Linked DNA regions of Elephas maximus indicus. The protein of the gene in region 2 binds, or shares a complex with, the protein of the main gene of each other region. Links are inferred from orthologs where the notes say so. Each region holds a gene or a part of one and is shown on either strand. Other genes may lie near its edges.

Evidence for each region.
Region 1: the proteins of EED (region 2) and EZH1 are in contact, whole or in part, in a cryo-EM structure (PDB 7KTP), measured with the Homo sapiens proteins. The link is inferred for Elephas maximus indicus from reciprocal best matches to the Homo sapiens genes EED and EZH1. Residues at the interface, in NP_003788.2 of Homo sapiens: Cys84, Val85, Asn86, Ser87, Leu88, Lys89, Glu90, Asp91, Trp103, His104, Ser105, Lys106, Glu107, Val112, Arg120, Leu123, Tyr124, Gln129, Gly130, Glu131, Ile132, Arg133, Leu134, Leu135, Gln136, Ser137, Tyr138, Val139, Asp140, Tyr154; in NP_001982.2 of Homo sapiens: Gly37, Ala38, Lys39, Leu41, Tyr42, Val43, Asn45, Phe46, Lys48, Val49, Gln50, Lys52, Thr53, Gln54, Leu56, Asn57, Glu59, Trp60, Leu63, Arg64, Val65, Gln66, Pro67, Val68, Gln69, Ser70, Met71, Cys83, Thr84, Ile85.

What each region holds. Positions count from the first base shown.
Region 1 is NC_064837.1:49,586,186-49,597,727, forward strand, and holds the start of EZH1 (histone-lysine N-methyltransferase EZH1), read right to left. Parts: upstream 6,873-11,542; 5' UTR 6,789-6,872; intron 1-6,788.
Region 2 is NC_064825.1:35,345,350-35,356,891, forward strand, and holds the start of EED (polycomb protein EED), read right to left. Parts: upstream 6,509-11,542; 5' UTR 6,136-6,508; coding exon 6,022-6,135; intron 1-6,021. UniProt on the Homo sapiens protein: Polycomb group (PcG) protein. Component of the PRC2/EED-EZH2 complex, which methylates 'Lys-9' and 'Lys-27' of histone H3, leading to transcriptional repression of the affected target gene.

The DNA.
Region 1 (11,542 bases), on a different chromosome or scaffold from region 2:
TACACATATGCATGGAAATGCCACTGAGCTTGAACCAATAAGAACGTAAAATAAGCCACGCTTCCTCCTTTTACAATTAAAGTGATACTTGAATCTCATGTGTCCATAACTGTTATTCACTAGGGTCTTCAGTGTCTCTAAAAGTTTATTTGCAATTTATGGAACAATAAACTTATTTGCGCTACAAAAAAAAAAAGTTTATTTGGCAGTTGGTCAGTTCCCCCACTGAGTGTATAAGGAAGATGAGACATACTGTTTGGAACAGATAGGTATGATTAAACACCTGAAACACAGCCATAGGATGGGTTTTCACAGCAGTTGAATCCTAACAAACAACTATCGCTTCAAAGTTCAAAGGAAGGGGGAAAAAAAAAACTGCATTCACTAGAAAGGGTTTAGAGAAGTGGGTTCATTCATCCTGGGCAAAGGGAGTGGCACACATAAAGTACTTTATATTTCTACTAGATCTATTCTTTGGTTATTTGCATATACAAAAAAGTATTTATATTGCAGCTAAGTACTAAGCTAGTACTTAAGAACCTTTCATTACATTCACTTATAAATTGCAAATAAACTCCAAAACATAGGCTGTTTTGGTCAAGAAGTTTAAAAATGAGTCTTTATATAAATAACTATTACAACCCAATATCAAGAAGACAAACAACCCAACAAATAGGGGGAGAAAAATTTGAACAGACACTTCGCCAAAAAAAGATATAACTCGGCAAATAAGCATACAAAAAGATGCTCGAACGTCATTAGTCATTAAACACTCTCTCTCAAAAAAAAAAAAAAAAAAGTTGCTGTCTAGTCATTCTGACTCATGGTGACCCCTCTGCTTCAGGGTAGAACTGTGCCCTCCATAGGCTTTTCATGGCTGTGTCCTTTCAGAGGCAGACAGTCAGGCCTTGCTTCCGGAGCTACCTCTGGGTGGATCTGAACCACCAATCTGTTGGTTAGTAGCCAAGGCTTAGCATGACTCCTATTGGTCATGAGGGAAGTGTAAATCAAAACCACAGTGAGATACTATTACACACCCACTGCTGCTGTTGTGTGCCATGGAGTAGATTCCTACTCACAGCAACCCAATGACAGAGCTGCCCCATAGGCTTTCCTAGGCTGCAAATCTTTATGCAGATCACCAGGTCTTTTCTCCCAGGGAGCGGCTGGTGGCTTTGAACCACCAACCTTTTAGTTAGCAGCTGAGTGCTTAGCCACTGTACCACCAGGGTTCCTACATACCCACTAGAATGGATAAAATCAAAAAGACTGACTGGTAATACCAAATGTTGGTGAGACACAGAACACTGGAATCTTCATGCATTGCTAGTGAGAATATAAAATGGTACAGCCACTTTGGAAAACGGTTTGCCTGTTCTTATAAATACATACTTGCCATATGACCTGGTATATAATTCCTAATTATTTATCCAAGAGAAATTTAAAAAAGATGTCCCCATAAAGATTTGTACACAGATGTTCATAGCAGCTTTATTTATAATAGTAAAAAACTAGAAACAGTCCAAAGATCCATGTATTGGTAAATGGATACACAATGTAGCATACACAGACAATGAGGTACTACTCAGCAATAAGATATATGCAACATGTATCTCAAAAGCATTATGTTAAGTGAAGAAAACCAGAGACAAAAAGCTATGTGATTCCCCTTATATGACATTCTACTACAATGATTCTAGAAAAGGCAAAACTATAATGACAGAAGCAGATTAGTGGTTGCCAGGGGCTGGGGTATAGGAAGTGACTGAATGGAAAGGAGAGCGAAAAAACTTCACTGGGATGCTGAAAATGTTCTATACCTTGGTTGTGGTGATAGTTAGATGACCATATACTTCTATCAAAATTCACTGAACTATATACATAAACTGGGTGAATTTATTATACATAGATTTTTTCCTCAAAAAAGCTGACTAAAGAAAAATAAGTTTTTGCTGATAAGAGATCAATCCAGTATTTTCTAGACACTTAACTATTAAAATTCTTTTTTTTTAATTGTGCTTTAGATGAAGGTTTACCTGAACAAATTAGTTTCTCATTAAACAATACACCTATTATTTTGTGACACTGGTTGCCAACCCTGCAACGTGTCAACACTCTCCCCTTCTTGACCTGGGTTCCCCATTTCCATTTGTCCAGCTATCTTGTCCCCTCCTGCCTTCTCATCCTTGCCCGTGGGCTGGTGTGCCCCTTTAGTCTCATATACGTGGTTGAGCTATGTTTTTTTACTGTTTGTTTTATGGGCCTGTCTAATCTTTGGCTTAACTATTAAAATTCTGTAGGCAATTCCACCCTTTAAAAAAAAAAAAAAAAACAACTCCTGTGTGACTTCAGAATGAATAATAATAAAAGATTGAACAGTATTGGTTCATTAATTGTAACAAATGTACCATACCAATGTAAGGTGTTAATAACCAGGGAAGCTGGGTTTGGTGTTTATGGAACTCTCTATACTATCTTTACAATTTTTTTTTTTTTTCGGTAAATCTAAAATTGTTCTAAAAAATGAAGTTTATTTAAAAAAAGATTAGTCATTGAAAATGAGAACTATCTTCTTTACATGCCAAATCTCTACAGGAAAAGAACGTTACAAAAACTTCAAAATCTTTCCCCTGAAAATTGGATCTCGAGTTTCTTCAAAGGCTAAAACTAGAATGTACTCTGTTGGAAATGGGAAAACATTATTGAAATTGTTTGGCAATACAACATTTAAGCAGCACTTTTTTTTTATATATTGGTTTATTCTTAAACTTAGGCAGATTGAGATCAGAATTTTAAAATTCCTAACTATGAGGTTTTTTCATCCACAGAAAGGTGTCCCTTTGTAGAAACAGCTTCTTTGCCTTAGGGGCAAGTTCAATTATCATTACTACTTTCTCTTTTATAACAAATAGTTTTATTAACCAGCAGGCTAAATAAGGCTCAGAAGCAGTTGGCACTGTAGGTTTTTAAATTTTCCATCTCATTCCTTCCTTTTAAAATCAGAGCAGAGTCTGAGACTTGAACAGTAGAGGTGAAACTACCCCTGCAAAGACCTCTGTTGTTGTGTGCCATCCAGTCAATTCTGACTCATAGTGACCTACACTATAAGTAGAAATGCCCCATATGGTTTTCTAAGCTGTAATCTTTACAGCAGCCGATCACTTGATATCTCAGCTACTATAACAGAAATACCACAAGTAGATGGCTTTAACCAAGAAACTTATTCTCTCACAGTCTAGGAGGCTAGAAGTCTGAATTCAGAGTGCCAGCTCCAGGGGAAGAAGGCTTTTTCTCTCTCTGTCGGCTCTGGGGAAAGGTCCTTGTCTTCAATCTTCCCCCAGTCGAGGAGCTTGTCACTGCAGGGGCCCCAGGTCCAAAGGACGCACTATTCTCCTGGCTTTTGTTTCTTGGTGGTATGAGGTCCCCATGTTTCTCTGCTCACTTATCTCTTTTATATCTCAAGAAAGGTTGACTTAAAACACAACCTAAAATCTTGTAGATTGAGTCCTGCTTCATTAACATAACTGCCACTAATCCCAACTCAATATCATAGAGCTGTAGGATTTACAACACATAGGAAAATCACATCAGATGACAAAATGGTGGACAATCACACAATGCTAGGAATCATGGCCTAGCCAAGCTGACACAGATTTTGGGGCGGGGGGGTACACAATTCAATCTATAACACCTAGTGGGTAAGTATGGATTTGAACTACTGACCGTTTGTTTCGTTTAGCAGCTGAGTGCTTAACCTTTGCACCACCACGGCTCCTTACAAAGAGCTCTAGTAACACACAATTGAGTCATTTTGGGGATCACTAATTTCATCAATGTTCCCATTAAAACCAACTCTGTGTCTAGGTGCACAGCCTGATAAGATTCCTCAACTGGTTATCAAGCACATCTTTAACTTGTACTCTTCCATTTCTCCAAGGTATTTATGTTTGTTCTCATTACCTTACTAACAGAAGCCTGTGACCCTGCATTCTCATTGAAAATAATATTACAGCATTAGTATTTTCTATTGTTGTTTCATTAAGGGAATCAGGTCAACTGCATCAGAGACAATGGTGATAAAAATCAAAGCAGGATTAATTCTTATGAGACCAAAAGGAAAACGCTGCCATGTAGGATGGACAATGCTGATTCAGAAGAGTTAGTTAACAAAGCAATCTCCTTGACTGGTTCTGTACTGCACCAGCACAAAGCTTAATATTCAGTGACTGCTCATTATCATCCAATAAAAACAAGACTTTTTAATGTGTTCATTTTGAATCAAAGTATTAGGGCATGTGTATCAGAGAACAGAACACATCAAACATCAAAAAAAAAAAAAATTGCCATCAAGTCAATTCCAACTGATAGCCACCCCATAGGACACAGTAAAACTGTCCCACAGGATTTACAAGGAGCACCTGGTGGAGTTGAACTGCCGACCTTTTGGTCTTAACTAGTATGCCACCAAAACTCCAACTACCCATTAAGTAACTCCTGACATTAAGATTTGGGGCACTGAAGTCCCAACTGCTGATCAAGTTATAAAGAGATAGTTAGGAACCCAATACCTAGTTTGAACAAAGAAGAAAGAAAAGCATTGGAAGCTTTCTGGAATAGAGGTTTTTGTTTTTTTCTTCTCTTAGGGTCGCTATGAGTCGGAATCGACTCCATGGCACTGGGTTTGGTTTTTGTTTGTTTGTTTGTTTATCTTTAGTTAACTTTCCCATGTAGAAATATAATGTGTTTTTAATGTTGCTGCCTCAAACCTTTTTTTGGGAAGTTGCTAGTGAACTAAGTAGAAAGAAACTTTTAAACTTAGTCTAAGACTGAGGGAGGGGGAAGAGGGGGCGGAACAACTAAATGAATTGTTACATGTTTCATATTATGCACAAATCACTGGAACCAACTGTTGCCCACAGGACTAAGAAGCCCAGGTTTCAGATCCCAAGAATTAAATAGACAGAATTAACATTTTCGATATATTTTTTTAAGCATGCCAATTCAAAGACAAGTATAAGAGAAATAAGTTTGACTACATTTTCTTAACTTTCCCTTTCTCAAAAGTCTTCTAGAGGATAAAATTTCATTTTTAATTCCAGACTCCTTTATTCTAGCACTGTTTTAATGGACACTAAAGTAGTCATTACATCAAAGAGGTCATTTACACTTCAGGGAGTTTTGAAGCCATGCCTTAGCATCAAGTTTCATGACTGGCCTACAACAGCTCTGCCATATAGCAACAGGCAGGGTCCAAATCTCCTAGCTCCCAGTCTCAGTCCCCTGGTGCCTCCGTTCCCACCACCCCCCCCCCCCCCCGCCAAACTTTCTACTATTTATTCATTCAAAAATATGTACTGAGTACCTAGTATGTGCCTGGCACTGTCTTAGGTGCTTGGGGCATATCAGTGAATAAAACAAACACCCCTGCCCTCAGGGAGTTAATTCACACTGTGATACGCCCACTCTGCATAAACTCTAACAATAACAGCTTTATTACTTTTTATAGATGGTCTTTTCCTCTATTACAAATGTGTAAAAAAAAAAAAAAGTGGATTTCACAGCACACATTCTTCTGTGTAACTAAGTAATCTCTTGTATCAATGTCACACCATCCCAGCCCTGGGGGATTCCAAAGCTTAAAATAGACAAGCTCTCTCAGAAACCCCTGGTCGAGTTAGCAAATTTTCAGGCTGGAAACTTCATTGAATACCGCCTCCCTTAGCTCAAAAGCACGGGGTGAGAGGATTTTTCTCTTCAAAGACATGGCAGCAAACGTGGAGGAAGACACTCACTTTCAACGCCATCCTTGCTTACAACCGTTTGTCTACTTAGGCTCTTTACCCTCATCCTCAACCCCTCTAGCTGCTAAACAAAAATACCCAGGCTACTCCAGTTACAATCTTATATTTCACCTTTCAAAAGACCACCCACAGTATTCCACCAGCGACATTAACATCCTTGTACCACTTCCCCTCGCTGCCCCCGGGGCAATTCCTCAGTAGTAACTTTTTACCACAATAAAAATTTGTCCCACATTTCCTAACTGGCACGTCACAAATACACTTTGCCTTTGCTTCAAGGAGCTTTCACTTATCATTTGATCCTTAGAAAAACCCCGGGGGTGGGCAGGGATTGACGAATGTGATCATTCGAGGGGGAGGCAGCCTCTTCCTCCAGGCTGGGACAAGGGTGAAGCAAGTGGGGCGTTCTCAGGCACTCACCCTGCACTTGCACGACCCTGAGAGTGAGCGCCCCTTAATCCTGCGCCTTAGGCGCCTCACTCCTCATCCTACTCATGGTCCTGCTATTACTGCCACCCCTTCCTTTTACTGCCATGACCCCCCAAAGCCATCGCAAGCTGAACCCCTGTCACTGGCCCTCGTCGTGCACAGCCCCAGGTCCCCAGGAGACGACCCCGCGCTAAGGGCCCCGCAGGCGCCCCCGCCCACCCGCGCCGGCTCCGAGCTGGGACTCCCGCCCACCCGGCCCACCCGGCCCTCCAACGGGATTCCCCGTCCCGGGCCCGCCCCCGCCGCTCCTCCTCCCGGACACGCCACCCTCCCCGCCTCAGACGCCTCCTCGCCTGGGGCTCCCTCATCCCATCGCCCCTTTTCCCGCAGCCCTCGGAGCGGGGAGGGGGCGCCCCGGCACCCCGCCTAGGCAGGCAGTGTATCTCTCCGCTTCTTCCCAATTCCCCGATCCCTTCGCCTCTCCCCGCCTCAGGCTGGGGGCGACGAAGCGGGGAGGCCCGGCCCCACCGCCCGGTCCCGGCTTGTTTACTCACTCACCCTCCATCCTGAGCCGCAGGGACCCGCCGCCAGCGCGCCTGCGCGCCTCGGCCCCGCCCCCGCGCCGCGGCCCCGCCTCACGCCTCCTCCCGGCGCGTGCGCGTTGGGCCGGCGACCCGGCCGCCAGGGTTTCCTTCGCAAGTTTGCCCTTTGGCGCCAGTAGTCGGGAGTCCGGAACCCAGGGTGGTGCGGCGCGAGCGCTACGATTTCCAAGGCGGCCCTGTCAGGCAGAGGAAGGGCTCTGTGGATCTCTTTCTGAGTCTTGACCTTATCCAAGGGTTCCACCATCCCCACACTTTGGTGACAGCTATGTCTCACTTCGACATTTGAAGCCAACCTGGAGCCTCTTCGTACTGACCGCTTCACACCTACCTATGAAGTTCTAAGTTACTCTATAAGCTCTAAACTACCCTGTTGCTTTGTTTACACCTGACTTACCTATTTATGCAAATAGTTTTCCCAGTCACCTAAATTTAAAAATTTAGTATTATATCAAATTATCTCCTTACAAGATCCCTATTAGTTAAAAAGGAGAAAAAAATAGTAACTTTACAGGGGAGAAACCTAGCAGACACCACCTTAACTAAATGATCAAAGTTAACATTACCAATGTTGAGACTTATTCTTATCAGGTACCTTCCAGTATGAAGCACTGAGAAGGGTACAAAATCACTTCTGTAGTGTTCTTGCCAAAAATGCATAACCTGACTTTAATCATGAGGAAACACTCAAACTCAAATTGAGGAGTAATCTACAAAACAACTGACCAGCACTGTTCAAAAGTGACAAGGTCATGAAAGAAAGAAAGGACAAGAGACTGTCCCAGATTGAGGGAGACTAAGGAGACATGACAACAAAAGGTAATTTGTGACCCTGGATTGAACCCTGGCCCAGAAAAAGAACAGTAGTGGGAAAATTGTTGATATTAGAATAAGGTCTGTGAACTAGTTAATAGTATCTTATCAAGAGGTAACTTTGGTGAAGGGTAAGACAGTACACAATACTGGGGATACCAGAACAACTTGTACAAGGCAAGGTCATGGAAGCTCCATAGATACATCCAAACTCCCTGAGGGACCAAGTTACTGGGCTGAGGGCTGTGGGGACCCTGGTCTCAGGGAACATCTAGTTCAATTGGCATACATAGTTCATAAAGAGAATGTTCTACATTCTACTTTGGTGAGTAGCATCTGGGGTCTTAAAAGCCTGTGAGCAGCCATCTAAAATACTATACTGGTCTCACCCCTTCAGGAGCAAAGGAGAAGGAGGAAAACTAGAGACACAAGGGAAAGATTAGTCCAAAGGACTAATGGACCACAACTACCACAGCCTCCACCAGTCTGAGTCCAGTACAACTAGATAGTGCCTGTCTGCTCCGACAGGAATCACAATAGAGGGTCCCAGACAGAGCTGGAGAAAAATGTAGAACAAAATTCTAACTCGCAAAAAAAGACCAGACTTACTGGCCTGACAGAGACTGGAGAAACCCAAGTGTATGGCCCCCAGACACCGTTTTAGCTCAGTAATGAAGTCATTCTTGAGGTTCACCCTTCATCCAAAAATTAGACAGGCACATAAAACAAAATGAGACTGAAGGGACACGCCAGACCAGGGGCAAGGACTAGAAGACAGGAGGGGACAGGAAAGTTGCTAATAGGGAACCCAAGGTAGAGAAGGGAGAGTGTTGACATGTCGTGGGGTTGAAAACCAATGACATAAAACAATATGTGTGCTGTTTAATAAGATGCTAGTTCTGTAAACCTTCATCTAAAGTACAGTAAAAAAAAAAAGTATCATCAATGTTAATTCCTGGTTTTGATAACTGTACTATGGTTATGTAAGATGCTAACGATTGAGGAATTTAGGTGAAGGATATAGAGACACTTTCTGTACTATATTTGCAACTCTTTTGTAAGTCTGAAATTATTTCAAAATATCAAGTTAAAAAATTAAAATACAAAATAATATCTTGCATTTGCTTCCAACTGTACAATTACAAAAGCCTTTCATGTACATTTATTTTCAAATAATCTTCACCACAGCCCTATGAAGGAGATGAACGCATTTCAGTTTTACACATGAGATTGTTCTGGCACAAGAGAGTTAAAAGACCTGCCTTACACAGAATCTTAAACTCGGGTCTTTGAATTCCAGATTCAGTGTTCCTTCACTTGTATCAGAAACTTTGATCTTGCTGTTTTTCCCTCACTCCCATCTGATTAACTACCAAATTATGGCAAATATTCCTTCATATTTGCAGTTTCCATCCCCACTGCTTTTTAAATCAATGGTTCTCAAACTTGGCTTACACTGAAATCACCTGTTGTTGCTGTTGTTAGGTGCCGGTTGAGCTGGTTCTGACTCGTAGTGACCCCATGTACAACAGAAGGAAACACTGCCCGGTCCTGCACCATCCTCACAATCATTGTTATGCTTGAGCCCATTGTTGCAGCCACTGTGTCAATCCATCTCATTGAGGGTCTTCCTCTTTTTCTCTGACCCTCTATCAAGCATGATGTCCTTCTCCAGGGACTGACCCTCTTGATAGCACATCCAAAGTATGTGAGACAGAGTCTCGCCATCCTTGCTTCTAAGGAACATTCTGGTTGTACTTCTTCCAAGACAGGTTTGTTCATTCTTTTGGCAGTCCATGGTATATTCAATATTCTTCCCCAACACCACAATCCAAAGATGTCAATTCTTCAGTCTTCTTATTCATTGTCCAGCTTTCGCATACATATGAGGCAATTGAAAAAAACATAGCTTGGGTCAGGCACAACTTAGTCTTCGCTTTTCAACACTTTAAAGAGGTCTTTTGCAGCAGATTTACCCAATGCAATGCGTCTTTTGATTTCTTGACTGCTGCTTCCGTGGGTGTTGATTGTGGACCCAAGTAAAATGAAATCCATGACAACTTCAATCTTTTCTCCATTTATCATGATGTTGCTTATTGGTCCAGTTGTGAGGATTTTTGTTTTCTTAATGTCGAGGTGTAATCCACAGTGAAGGCTGTGAGCTTTGATCTTCATTAGTAAGTGCTTCAAGTCCTCTTCATTTTCAGCAAGGAAGGTTGTGTCATCTGCATAATGCAGGTGTTACTTCATCTTCCTCCAATCCTGATGCCCCGTTCTTCTTCATAGAGTCCAGCTTCTCAGATTATTTGCTCAGCATACAGATTGAATAGGCATGGTGAAAAGATACAAGGCTGGTGCACAATTTTCCTGACTTTAAACATGCTCTATCCCCTTTGTCATGGATTGAATTGTGTCCACCCAAAAATATGTGTCAGCTTGGTTAGGCCATGATTCCCAGTATTGTGTGGTTGTCCTCCATTTTGTGATTGTAATTTTATGTTAAGAGGATTAGGGTGGGATTGTAACACCACACTTACTCAGGTCACCTGCCTGTTCCAGTGTAAAGGGAGTTTCCCTGGGGTGTGGCCTGCACCACCTTTTATCTCAAGAAATAAAAGGAAAGGGAAGCAAGCAGAGAGTTGGGACCTCATACCACCAAGAAAGTAGCACGAGGAGCAGAGCACATTCTTTGGACCTGGGGTCCCTGCGCCTGACAAGTTCCTTGACCAGGGGAAGATTGAGGACAAGGACCGTCTTCCAGAGCCGACAGAGAGAGAAAGCCTTCCCCTGGAGCTGGCACCCTGAATTTAGACTTTTAGCCTTTTTTACTGTGAGGAAATAAATTTCTCTTTGTTAAAGCCATCCACTTGTGGTATTTCTGTTACGGCAGCACTAGGTAACTAAGACACCCTTGTTCTGTTCAAATGACTGCGTCTTGATCTGTGTACAGGTCCCTGATGAGCACAATTAAGTATTCTGGAATTCCTGTTCTTCACAATGTTATCCATAATTTGTTATGATCCACACAGTCAAATGCCTTTGCATAGTCAATAAAACACAGGTAAACATCTTAATAAATACCGATGCCCAATTCCCACACCCAGAGAGTCTGATTAATTGATCTGGGGGATAGCCTGGGCTTCAAGAGTTTTAAAAGCTTTCCAGGTGAGTTTAATGTGTAGGCAAGTTTTAGAACTATTGTATGTACTGCATAAATAATTGCTAAAAGAAAGGAAGAATGTGGGTTATTTAAGAAGAGATATTCAGGAGATCTGGATGTCAGGAGACAGGCTGATGAGGAATTTGGGAATCATCAGTATTTTGATGGTAACTGAAGCCATGGAAGCAGACAACATTGCCTTAAAAGAGTATGTCAGGCAATAAGAGGAGAGACACTAAGAAGTTTTGAGATAACAAGGAAAGTATGCTTATAGAAGTCCCCGAGTGGTACAGTTAAGCGCTAGACTACTAGTCAAAAGGTTAGCAGTTTAAACCTACCCAGAGGTGACTCAGAAGACAGGCCTGGTGATCTGCTTCCAAAAGGTCACAGCCTTGAAAACCCCATGGAACAGTTCTACTCTGCACATAGAGGTCTACTCTATTCCAGTTTCCATGAGCCAGAGTCACCTGGACAACAATTGTTATGGAAATATTTGGAGGTAGAAAAGAAGGAAAGTGAGATTTGGATTTATTTAGGTCATTCTTACAGCCCAGCTCCAGCTCCACCACTTCATTAAGCCTCACAGCCCTCATGGATCTCCTGGGTGCTTCCATTTCAGTCCCACTTTACATCTGTATCCTTTCATATCTGGCACAGGACTGAACACAGGGCTCAGTAATTCTTATTCACTAAAGGTTTATGAAAACAACCTTCTGCATTACCAATAAGCTTAGGGTTCT
Region 2 (11,542 bases):
TCTTTGGTTCTGAATAGCTTTAAAATACACCAAAGACTACTGACTCACAGGGACCCTATAGGACAGAGTGGAATTTCCCATAGAGTTTCCAGGGAGTGTCTGGTGGATTTGAACTGCCGACCTTTTCGTTAGCAGCCACGGCACTTAACCACTACACCACCAGAGTTTCCAATATTCCCTTTAATGGTCTGCAAAAAGAAAATAAACTTTCAATTTATTTGGTCCTGATTTTTTTTCTCAGTCTAAACAGGTTACTGGCATATTCGTTACATTCTGCCTGATTATTAAGTATAAGGGAGTGTGGACTACATGATCACAAAATAACTATTATAAATAACTAACATTTGTATAGTACCTATTGGAAACCCTGGTGGCACGGCAGTTAAGAGCTACAGCTGCTAACCAAAAGGGCTGCTAACCAAAAGGTTGGCAGTTAAGAATCCATCAGCTGCTTCTTGGAAACTCAATGAGGCAATTCTACTCTGTCCTATAGGGTCGTTATAAGTCGGAACCAACTCTATGGCAACAGGTTTTTATTTTTATTTTTGGTAGTACCTATTATGGAATAGGTACTGTTCTAAGCCCTTTACCTATATTAACCCGTTGCCGTCGAGTCGATTCCGACTCACAGTGACCTTATAGGTCAGAGTAGAACTGCCCCATAGAGTTTCCAAGGAGCACTTGGTGGATTTGAACTGCAGACCTTTTGGTTAGCAGCAGTAGCACTTAACTACTACACCACCAGGGTTTCCTTTACCTATATTATTTCATTTAATTCTCAAAAAGATCCCAAGAAGTAAATACCACTGTTGTTACTTGCAGACCAATTGATCCCACAACCCCATGCATGCAGAGTGAACTGCTCCATAATGTTTTCAAGGCTGTGATCTTTTGGAAGCAAATCTCCAGGCCTGTCTTCTGAGGTGCTTTCAAACTGCCAATCCTTTGGCTAGTAGTCCAGTGTTTAACTGTTTGCACCATTAACATCTTCATTTTTCAGATAAGAAACCTGAGACGGAGATTAAGTACTCTTTGTATCATTATCATTCCCATTTTTTGAATAAGAAACTGAGGCAGAGGTTAAGTACCTTGCTCAAGGTCAAACAATCAATGAAGAGGATTTTTAACCCAGCATTTAGATCCAGTGTCTGTGCTCTTAACCACTAGTCTAATCTGTCTAGAGAAGTTTAAGAAAATCCAGGAAGTGTAACAGGCTCCAAGGGCTAGAATGAAGAGGGTCAAAAATGTTAGACCCCAATATATATGGGAAGCACAAACAGGAAAAAAAAAGATTTTAAGTAACATTCAACACCCAAACTTTTCCAAGAAACTTCAAGTCTAAGATCCTACAAGCTGACAATCCTAAAATATCTTTCTTCAACCTACAAAAAGAATCCTTTCCCACCTCTTCCGTGAAAATCTTGGTAATGACACCATGCTGTATATATGATTCAGGGGAGGCAGAGCCAACATGGTGCTATAGACAGAAGCAGCATGCCACGCCTCTGCAGCAAAGACCTGAAAAATGAAAAACTAAGTAAAACAGATACAAACATCAATCCTGGAACCCTAAGCATCAAATGAAGGAATAAAGAGCTCAAGCAAGCACCCAGTGGAGTAAGAAACTGACAGAGAACAAAGAACAAGGAGGGCTACGAATAGAGGTCCCCTTTCAGCTAACATAGTACGGATTTGCCATCTTGGACTACAGCCACCAAGGAACACAGACAAGGAGTATAGAAAGGCAACTTCGTGGAGAAAGAGCACCCAGTAACCAGGGATACATGCTTTCCCACCCCCCCACCCTTTTTCCCTGTACAAGGCCTCCATCGCTTTCCAATGGGCCACAGTGACTTGGCCGGTGACACACCAGCTCACTGCCACCTGGGTCCACCCCACCCCCATCAGCCAGCCCCCTCAGCGCCATTTTTTTGTTTTTAAGCTTTTTTTGTTGCCTTTCTCTCTCTCTCTCTCCTTTCCTTTCTCCCACCCAGCTAGCCTAGTGTGCCATCCCCTCCCCTTTTTCAGAGAACATGGTGCAGTGCCATGACCAACCAGCTCCTTCAGTGCCATTTTATATATTGTTTGTTTTTCTTTTTAGTTGTTTTTTCTTTCTCCCATCCACCAAGCCCCATGCACCACACCTCCCTTCTTGGTGGGCTGTGCTGTACCACTCGGCTGGAAAGCCTCTGACACACGGCCTCCCCAGGTCTGTGCCGCATTCACAGGCTGGCTCCTTCAGCACCATATTCTTTATTTTTCTTTATCTTTCCCCTTCTTCCTTTTCCTTCTCACTCCCACCTAGGCCCTGTGCTGCCTCTGCCCCTTCCTGACATGTCCAGAGTGAAACATCAGTTTGCCACCACCCCAATTCCACCTCGCCCCCAACAGCTGGCTCCCTTCCTACCATATTTTTGTTGTTGTTGTTGTTGCTTTTATTTATTTTTTATTTTCTTAACTTTACTTCTTTGTTTGTTGGTTTCTTCTCCCCCCCCCCCCCCTTTTTTTCCCTTTCTACCACCCACCTAGCCCCGTGCACCACCCATGCCCCTTTTCAACAGGTCAAGCTGCACCACTTGGCTAGAGAGCCACCAGCACATGGCCTAGCTGGGTCAGCTCCACCCCTACTCACCAAATCCTACCAGTCATTTTACTTTTTTCCTTCATTTTTTTGCTTTTGTTTCTCTCTCTCCTCTCTTCTCTCACTCACCCACTTAGCTCTATGCATCACATCCTCTCCCTCCCCTCCTGCCTACCTGCACTGCGCCCCTCCTGCCTACCTGCACTGCGCCCCTGAGCAGCACCAACATGATCCGCCCCAACCTCACCCAGCACTGCTCCCAGCCCTGCCTTGTAGTCCCCAGTTTGTGTTGCAAACTACCCATCCCCACCCCTCCACTTCCGCTGGACCTACCCTGATGCACCATAGCTGAGTGACCGGACCTGCTCACCTGGATTGGGTGGAAAGAAGTATCATGCCGACAGGTGAGCAAGTAACAAAACACTCCCAGCCTGCCTGCCCAGATGTAACCAAATAGAACAAAAAAGGGGGATGAAACAAACAAATCTACAATCAGTAAACTAAGAAAATAATTCCTGAATGTACAGGCCACAGCAGACAATATCAAAACACATTAAAAAACATAACTGGATGGCTCCAGAAAGCAACCAAAATAAAACACCAATGACCTTCTGGTAGAAGAAAAGGAACTGAAACTACCTGATAGGGAATTCAAAACTCTAAAATTCAGGGTTCTCCAAGAGATGAAGAAAATGCAGACAAAAATAAGGAAAAAATAGACAAAATCATGGAAAATATAGAGAAAAATCAGGGAAAACAAAGACAAAGCAATGGAAGAATTAAGAAAAATAAAGGAACAAAACATCAAAATAAACAGCTAGAAATCATTAAAAAAAAAAAAACAGCAATTAGAAATTCAAATGACAATAAGATTCCAGAAATGGACAATGCAATAGGTTTTAGGAGCAAATCTGAAACAACAGGAGATATGATCAGTGAAATCGAAGACAAATCTATGGACACCACTTTGAAGAAATATCAAAGAATGGAGAAAAATGAAGAAACCCTGAGAACGATGTGGGATACAATCAAAAGCAAAACTTTGCATGTGATGGGAGTTCCAGAACAGTGGGAGAAAATGGAAAACACAGAGAGGATCACTGCAGACTTGCTGACAGAAAACTTCCCTAAAGACGAAAAGCTGACCATACAAGAAGTTCAACAAACCTCATATTGGATAGACCCCAAGAGAAAATCACCAAGACATATCATAACCACGCTTGCTAAAACCAAAGACAAAGAACCCTAAGAGCAGTTCCAGAAAAACTAAGTTACATACAAAAGGGGAAGCAATAAGACTATACTCTGATTACTGGGCAGAAACTATGCAGTCAAGAAGGCAATGGAATGACATACATAAAACCTTGAAAGACAAACTGCCAACCAAGAATATATCCTGCAAAACTCTTGCTCAAATATGATGGCAAAATTAGGACATTTCCAGATAAACAGAAATTAAGGGAATATGTAAAAACCAAGCCAAGCTTACAAGAATTATTAAAGAAAGTCCTTCAGTTAGAGAACCAAAAATATCAGACATCAACCTGAATCTAGGACACAAGACAGTATCAGTCAGACACTACCCTAGGTAATGAACTCCCAAGGATAAAACAAAACTAAAAGATTTACAACACGGAGCCAGAGAGATCTGTAAATGACAATGACAGAACAATAAAAAAAGGGAATAAACAATACAGGTATAGAACTTCCAAATAGAGAGGACGTCAAGGCAATACCAAGTAATAAAAGACCGGTTTAAACTTAGGAAGATAGGGATAAATTTCAAAGAAAGTTAACAAACCTACTCATCAAAATAAAGAAAAAGAAAGTCTCCATATATATGCGTCAGTGTTTATGATATAGAATTTAGGAACTGAAGGTGTAAGATATAACAATTCCTAAAAAACTAGCCAAACTCAGAAAATGAAGAACTTACACCACCCAAGCATAACCCTTTAAAAATTCTTAACGCACTGAGAAATTATTATACTATGATAAGGAAGGGTTCATATTTTGCAGTAATAGCCTTGAATGAACAATCTTTTAGACATTTTAAGGAGCCCTGGTGGAACAGTGGTTAAGCACCTGGTTGCTAACCAAATAAATGGTCAGTGGTTCGAATCCACCAGCTGCTCTGGGGGAGAAAGAAGTGGCAGCAGCCATTGGAAACTCTATGGTGCAGTTCAACTCTGTCCTATAGGATTGCTATGAGTCGGACATTTTGCTGACCTTACTGGATATAACTTAGAACAAGAACCTGGTTTATATACCAGTATCTGTGTACCTGGTGAAGAATCAATTACTCCAAAATATCTATTGAACTTATTTTGCCACTTTTATAAAACCCAAGCGATTTGAAAGCACACTGTAGGATTGAAGGAGAAAAGGTCCATCCTTTCTCTAGTGAAAAAGGCTGGTACACAAACCAAAACAATATTAGGCTTTCCATGGGATCCTAAATAAATCTGAAACTTCCTTCTCTTGTTACCACCTGGAAGTTCCAAGTATATTTCACTAATCATCATTCACTTACTCTTACCTATACATTCATTTTTCAAAAAAAGAATTTTAGCTGGATTACTTGCAGAGTGAATTTCATTCTTCAATCCACATCTATTAATGTCAGTTCGGTTTTTACAGGCGAGTCATCTAAACACAGCTTTGTAAACTGTTGGGACTACATGATTACCAAGATCCATCTCAGAACTTAAACAAAAAAAGTCTGATTCCAAAGCCAATTTGCATTCACCACTCAGTTGCCTAAATTCTCTTAGGTCGTCCCGCTTATCTGAAATAACAACTTTCAAAGGAGAAACCATCCCTTCTCATTTCTTCCTCAAAGTCATTCCCCCTACACGTCAGAAGGTGACTCTCAATCTGCTTTTCCATCTCCATGAGCAGGACAGGAGCAGACACAAAATCCCCTTAAAAGTTACCCAAACCCAATAAGTCGAAGATTTATGCTTTCCATCCTGAAAATTCACAAGGGTCTATGAGTGACACCGTCCCCCAAGTCCTTAAGAGGCCCTAACAGACTATCCCCCTCTTTCCAACTCTCTTAAAAAATCTCTAACACGCCTTTTAAACTACTGGAATCTCAGATCCGCACTCTCCCAAAATCACCCGAAGGCCTAAACACTCTCCCTCCCGTCAATCATACACCAAGAGGATCTCAGAGCAGACCACCTCAGACCCTCTGCTCATCAAACAACCATTTAAATCACCCTCCTTCCCCACGTTTCTGTTTGCCCTCGGCCCCAGCTCAACATCCCCATAGAGACAAGTTCAATTTTCTCCTCCACGCCCGCGTTTTCCTGAGTAGAGGGTGACACCTCTCCCTCCACCCTACGGTTGCCCGCCCGCCCCAGCGCCTACAGTTTAAAAAGAATTTAAAACTTTCACTCCAGAGTACCGACCGGACTGCTCCGGGCTGCACTTACATTCTCGTCTCCAGAGAGGTCTGGGTTGCTGTTCTCGTCGCTGCTCAGCTTCTGCTTCTTGGCCGCAGGCATGTCTGTTCCCGCCGGTGCTGTCGACACTTCCCTCTCGGACATATTCCTCCGCCTCCCTCCAGGTTCCTGCCGCCTCGGGCGGGGCCTGCGCCACACCGCCGTCAAGCAAGCCCGGCCAGAGCTTGCCGTAAAGCTGCCACTGCCGCCGCCACCGCCACCGCTCCCCCCACTGTCGCAAACCGCGCCCAGCCGCCGAGGCGGGCGTGCGTGCGACCCCGCCACACTGCTGAAAAAGGGGCGCGCTCGCGCGCCCTCCCGCGCGGCTTTCTGGCTCCTTCCCTTTCGCTACTATCCTCTTGCCCTTTTCCCGCAGTCCTCTGGCAATTTGCACGGAGAGGTGTGATCCGTTGGCTTTCGAGGGCAGTATTTCGTACGTCCCCTTTACCACTCCCGCCTCGAAAAGGAGAGATGGAACTCAGAGGGATTCTCCCTCACTCTCTTTCTCCTTCCAAAGCCGTTTCAGCCGCAATTGGCCCAAACCTTCGATCCTCGACCCGCTGCAGGGGCTCGAAAGTATGTGGAATGGACTAGACCACCAATGTCCCAAAGGACGGGGGAAAACACGAGAAGTCACCTCTTGCTTCAGCGGCGTGTGCGAAGCATATCCTTAGTCATCAACTCGGAGGATAATTCTCTTATGGTTTTCCACGAAATCTTTCACAACTTAGTTTTCTTTTGGGAATAGATGTTCCAAAATTGTAGACAGCTTTCCATTCGCCTCCCCCGTCTAGAAATGGAAGTTACTAGCTAGGAGACGCGCATGCGCCGGAGCGTATTCTCGCGCTGGTCCATCCGGACCCGCCTCCTCTACACCCCTCCTCTTTTCGAAATCTTGTTTGTTGAACCAGGTAGAGTTCTAGTCGGTTTCCGTAGTCCAGGATGGATTCCAAAGCGCTACCAAGTCTTAGTCTCAGGATGCATTTTAAATTCTTGGTGGATATTTATTCTGATGAGTATTTATTGCGATGAATGCTTATTCTCACCCACTTGGTGCCAATATTGGTTAAGGCTTAAGTAGGAATATTCTGTAATCATAATATGATTCTAGACCTTCAAGAATTATAGCCGAAGCCCTCTTTTTAATTGCTGAAGGATCATTAAGGCCCAGACAACGCCAAGGCCCATAAATCAGTGGTCGCTTCCAACAATGGATGAGACTAAAACGACGGACAATTTTTTTTGGGGGGGGGGCACATCAGGTATAATAAAATTTTTGAGACAGCACTAAAACTTGTACTTCACCAAAATGCTTCTCTTATGAGTATTACCATATCTGGGCTCTTGACCGGTGCCAAATATATTGGTGAACTTTGCGGATTTGGTACATGGGTCATTAAGCCGCGTAACTGAATGAGCAGCAGGAAAAGAAGGATGACAGGAGATAAAATCTAGCCCCTCCCACCTTTTTTTAGAACATGGTTGTGACAAGTTATCTTTCTGTGACTCAGTGTCCTCATCTTTAAAAATAAAGGATACAAATTTTTTGAGCACGGACTTGATTTTATGTACATTTTCTCATTTTTTACTTTGTTACATCACCCAAAAGATTGCCAGTCTAGACTGCCCCTTCCATAACATTCTAGTATACGTGAATTACTTCTGCATGATGCTTTCACAGAGAGAAAATCAATTTCATTATCTGCAGGTTGCAAGTCACTGTTTTGGAGATAAGAAGAGAACTCCTGGTTGAGAATGAGAAAAGTGTGGTAAAGGCAAAATAAGAGGTTTTTGCAATGAAAACTCAGGAAAATAAGGAAGCTAAAAAAAAAATTAAGTTGAGATTTTAATAATAATAAGTGCAGTTATTGTTTGAATCCTAATGTGCCAGGTACTGCTAAGCACTCCTTAGTTGGTGAGAAGAGAGATGAGAGTGGTATGGAGTCAGCTACTGAGAAAGTAAGATGTGCAGAGACAAACATACTCCCCTTACCTGTTGGGAAGAATGTGAAATATATGTCTACAACTAAAGGATAATCAACTAAAGTATTTCAAATCCACATTACTCTGTGTCTGGGATCAATGAAAACTGGAACCTGGGAGTCAACTTCTAGTCATAAAATCAGAAAAGTGTTGAACTTCTGAATAATGGACACCTATGGGAGGAAAATGCCTTTCAGCATGAACATTATCTGTAACAAAGCAAAAATATTTTAAGTGTCTTATTAAAACTTGGAGGAATTTTTTAAAAATGTTCTGGTGAGTCAAGCATGATAAATGGAAATTACTTCATTAATATTCATTATTACTAGTTTAGGATATGTAAAATATCAAAGGTATTCTATTTAGAGTGCTACCCTGATGGTATTAAGTTAATATAATACGTTAAAGTAAGTTTCTCAACACTGAATTCTCTTACTGTGGAGGATCTCAGGAACCACCACAGTTGAAGAGGTCTTACCACCTGCATTTTACAAATGAGGAAACGGAAGCCCAGGGTGATTAAACACTTTACCTGAAAACACCTGGCTCTGCAAGTGGCAGGGCTGGGGAGCATATTCAAGGCTGGTTGACTCCAAAGCCTCAAAATGAAGGACCCAAGCAACTCTAGATTTATGTAATCCCATGCTGCAGTGGGATGCACAGAGCTTGATCTTTAGGCCAATGTCTTACACACTATTCAAAGAACATAAAAAAGGCTATCTCTCTTGGAACAGAAGGATGACATGACAGGAAAATCCAAATAAATTCTGGAGTTTAGTTAATAATAACGTACTATTTAAGTTTCTTAATTTTGACAAATGTACCAATGTAAAGGAGCCCTGCTGGTGCAGTAGTTAAAGCGATCAACTGCTAACTGAAAGGTTGGCAGTTCAAAACCACCAGCGGCTCCACGGGAGAAAGATGTGGCAGTCTGCTTCTGTAGAAGTTTACAAAGGGTTGCTGTGAGTGGGAATTGACTCCACAGCTGTGGGTTTGGTTTTGTAACATGTTAACAGCGGGGGTAACAGGTTAACAATAAGGCAAACTGGATAAAGAGTATACACAAATGCTATTCTATCTTTGTAACTTTGTAATTATCCCAAAATAAAAATTTATTTAAAAAAAAAAAAAAAGCTATCTCATGTTAGACTGTTGAACTGTTGAGAACTCTCATCAGAAATACCCCTTAGCTTTCAAGAAAGTGGTTGATCTATCTTGAAAAACTTTCAAAGATCATTTAGTTACATAAAAAAAGAGAACTCGCAACCTCCCTTAGTATTGTCTTCCAATATCTTGTAAGTTTCATATCAGGAAATGAGTTTCAAGAGCTAAATTAAATCTTTTCTATTTCAGTTGAAGTCTATTTCTCATTCATTCAACATTTTTTGTATCTTCTGCTTCATAAATAACAGCTGTTCATCACTCCTGCAATGTGTAATAATATGCTTACAGATCTATTTTTCTGTGAACATAAGATCATATGGCTTCTTTGAACATTTCAAAATCAATAAGGAGAAATTTACTGAATACTGTCTATATGCAAAGCAGTATCCATGGGGATGGAAGGTGGGGAGTAAAAGGGAAAGTAAGACAAAGTCCCTTTAAAAAGCCCTCTGTTCTTTGCCTACTGAGTACTACCTATGATTAATAATTCAGTTTTCTGGTTTCCTTAATAACAGCAAGGAAGTAACACTAACGGGTGGACATTCATATTCTAGTCACCTGAGAGGTGACAGCATAAGTTTAATACTTTGGCTTATGGCATATCAATAAGTGTCTTGTTAGCTGGGGAGGGACCAGATCATGAAAAGCCTTATGCCATTGATAAGCAGTGCATGACCGAAGAAGAGTTTTCACTTTGGCAGTGGTCAGGGTGTAAGAATGGAGGTAGAGAGATGAGTTCAGAAGCCATTGCAAAACTGCAGAACTGAACTAAGGCAGTGGCGATGAGGATGGACAACAAGGGGTTGTTTCCAGAGATATTTAAGAATTTCAACCAACAGGACTCAGTAACTCAAGCAACATGTGGGGTGGTGGGAGGTGGGCATAGAATGACTCAGGTTGATAGTTTGGCTGATTTCCTGAGTGATGTGATCTCTAAACAAGACAGAAGTTGAAGGAAAGAAGATGGGATTTTTAACTTTTGGTATTGAGCAGAAAGACATGATGTAATTTCACTTCTCCCCAAACTCAAGTACAGTCTTAGGAGGCAAGTGCAAAAGTCAATTGTCCATCATTAATTTAAGGGAGAAGTTAGCTTTTAAAAAACGAAAGTAATTCCAGTGTTTTGTGTTTAAAAGAGGTTTGTTTATTGTGCGCATTAAGCAAGATAATACATGTGCAAGAGCTTAAAACATGGATTACTGTGTGAAAAATTGTTGAATGATAAATGTATTTTGCTTTCTGGACAAAATAAAGGGTTGCTCTTGATTTAAAATCAGCAGCCTTGATTTTAAGAATAATAAGATCTTATCCACAATTTTTTCCTTACATAGTTTTTAAAAAGTATGAAGAAAAACATATGCTGACTATAAGTGACTTTCTTCTGAGACTTTCAGCACTCTTTTCAAACGTAAATCAAAACCAACAACGTTCCCACTCAAACACTAAGACAAAAAGTATCTAGAAAATTGAACCAAGAGGTAAATTTCATTGAACACTCACTATATGCCAGGCATGTTGTATGATTTATCTCATTTAATCTTCAAAACATCTCTGTTTTACAGATGAGGAAGTTGAGACAGAGAAATTAAATTACTAGTTCAAAGTCACAGAGGCAGTAAGTGATGGAACTACTAAATGTAATGCACACTGCCTAACTCTGGAACCGGAGTTCTTAATTCCTGCACTATATGGTTTTCCACTGAGCTGCCAACGTGTTTATCTCTGGGTTGGTGTACTTGTGTATTTCCTTTCGTTCTTTTTATTTTTCTGTATTTTTGGTAATAAGCATGTAATGCTTTTAGATTAAGAAAATATGTCATTTTGATTTAAAAAACAGATAAATATTTTAAATAGCCCAATTCTCATTCATTTCCTGAAAAGAATATTTCTGTATTTAATTTTGATTTTAAGTGTTAAGTATATTGTTGTTGAGGGCAAAGTCTTGTCTGGTGCATGGTACATTAAAAAAAAAAAAAATGCTTTCAAGTCAATCCCGACTCATAGCAAACCTACAGGACAGAGTAGAACTGCCCCATAGGGTTTCCAAGGAGCACCTGGTGGATTGCATGGTACATATTATGCACTTAATTCTCTGAAAAATAGACTACAATTATTGTCAAGTTAATTAACTGTCATTATCTAAGAATCTGGAATATTATAGATAAATGCTTGTTTATGAAATAAAACTGTAGGTGTCAAAGCCAGAGGAACAGGAGTTTTGGTTGTTTTTTTTTTTTCTTTTAAACATTTGTAATCTTTAAATTGTCTGAAAGATTGCTAATCAGCCAAAAGAAATTCATTACGATCCCTAAGTTAAAGCCAGTGCCCAAACAGTTCTGAGATCTGATGTTTAACTTAGAACTGT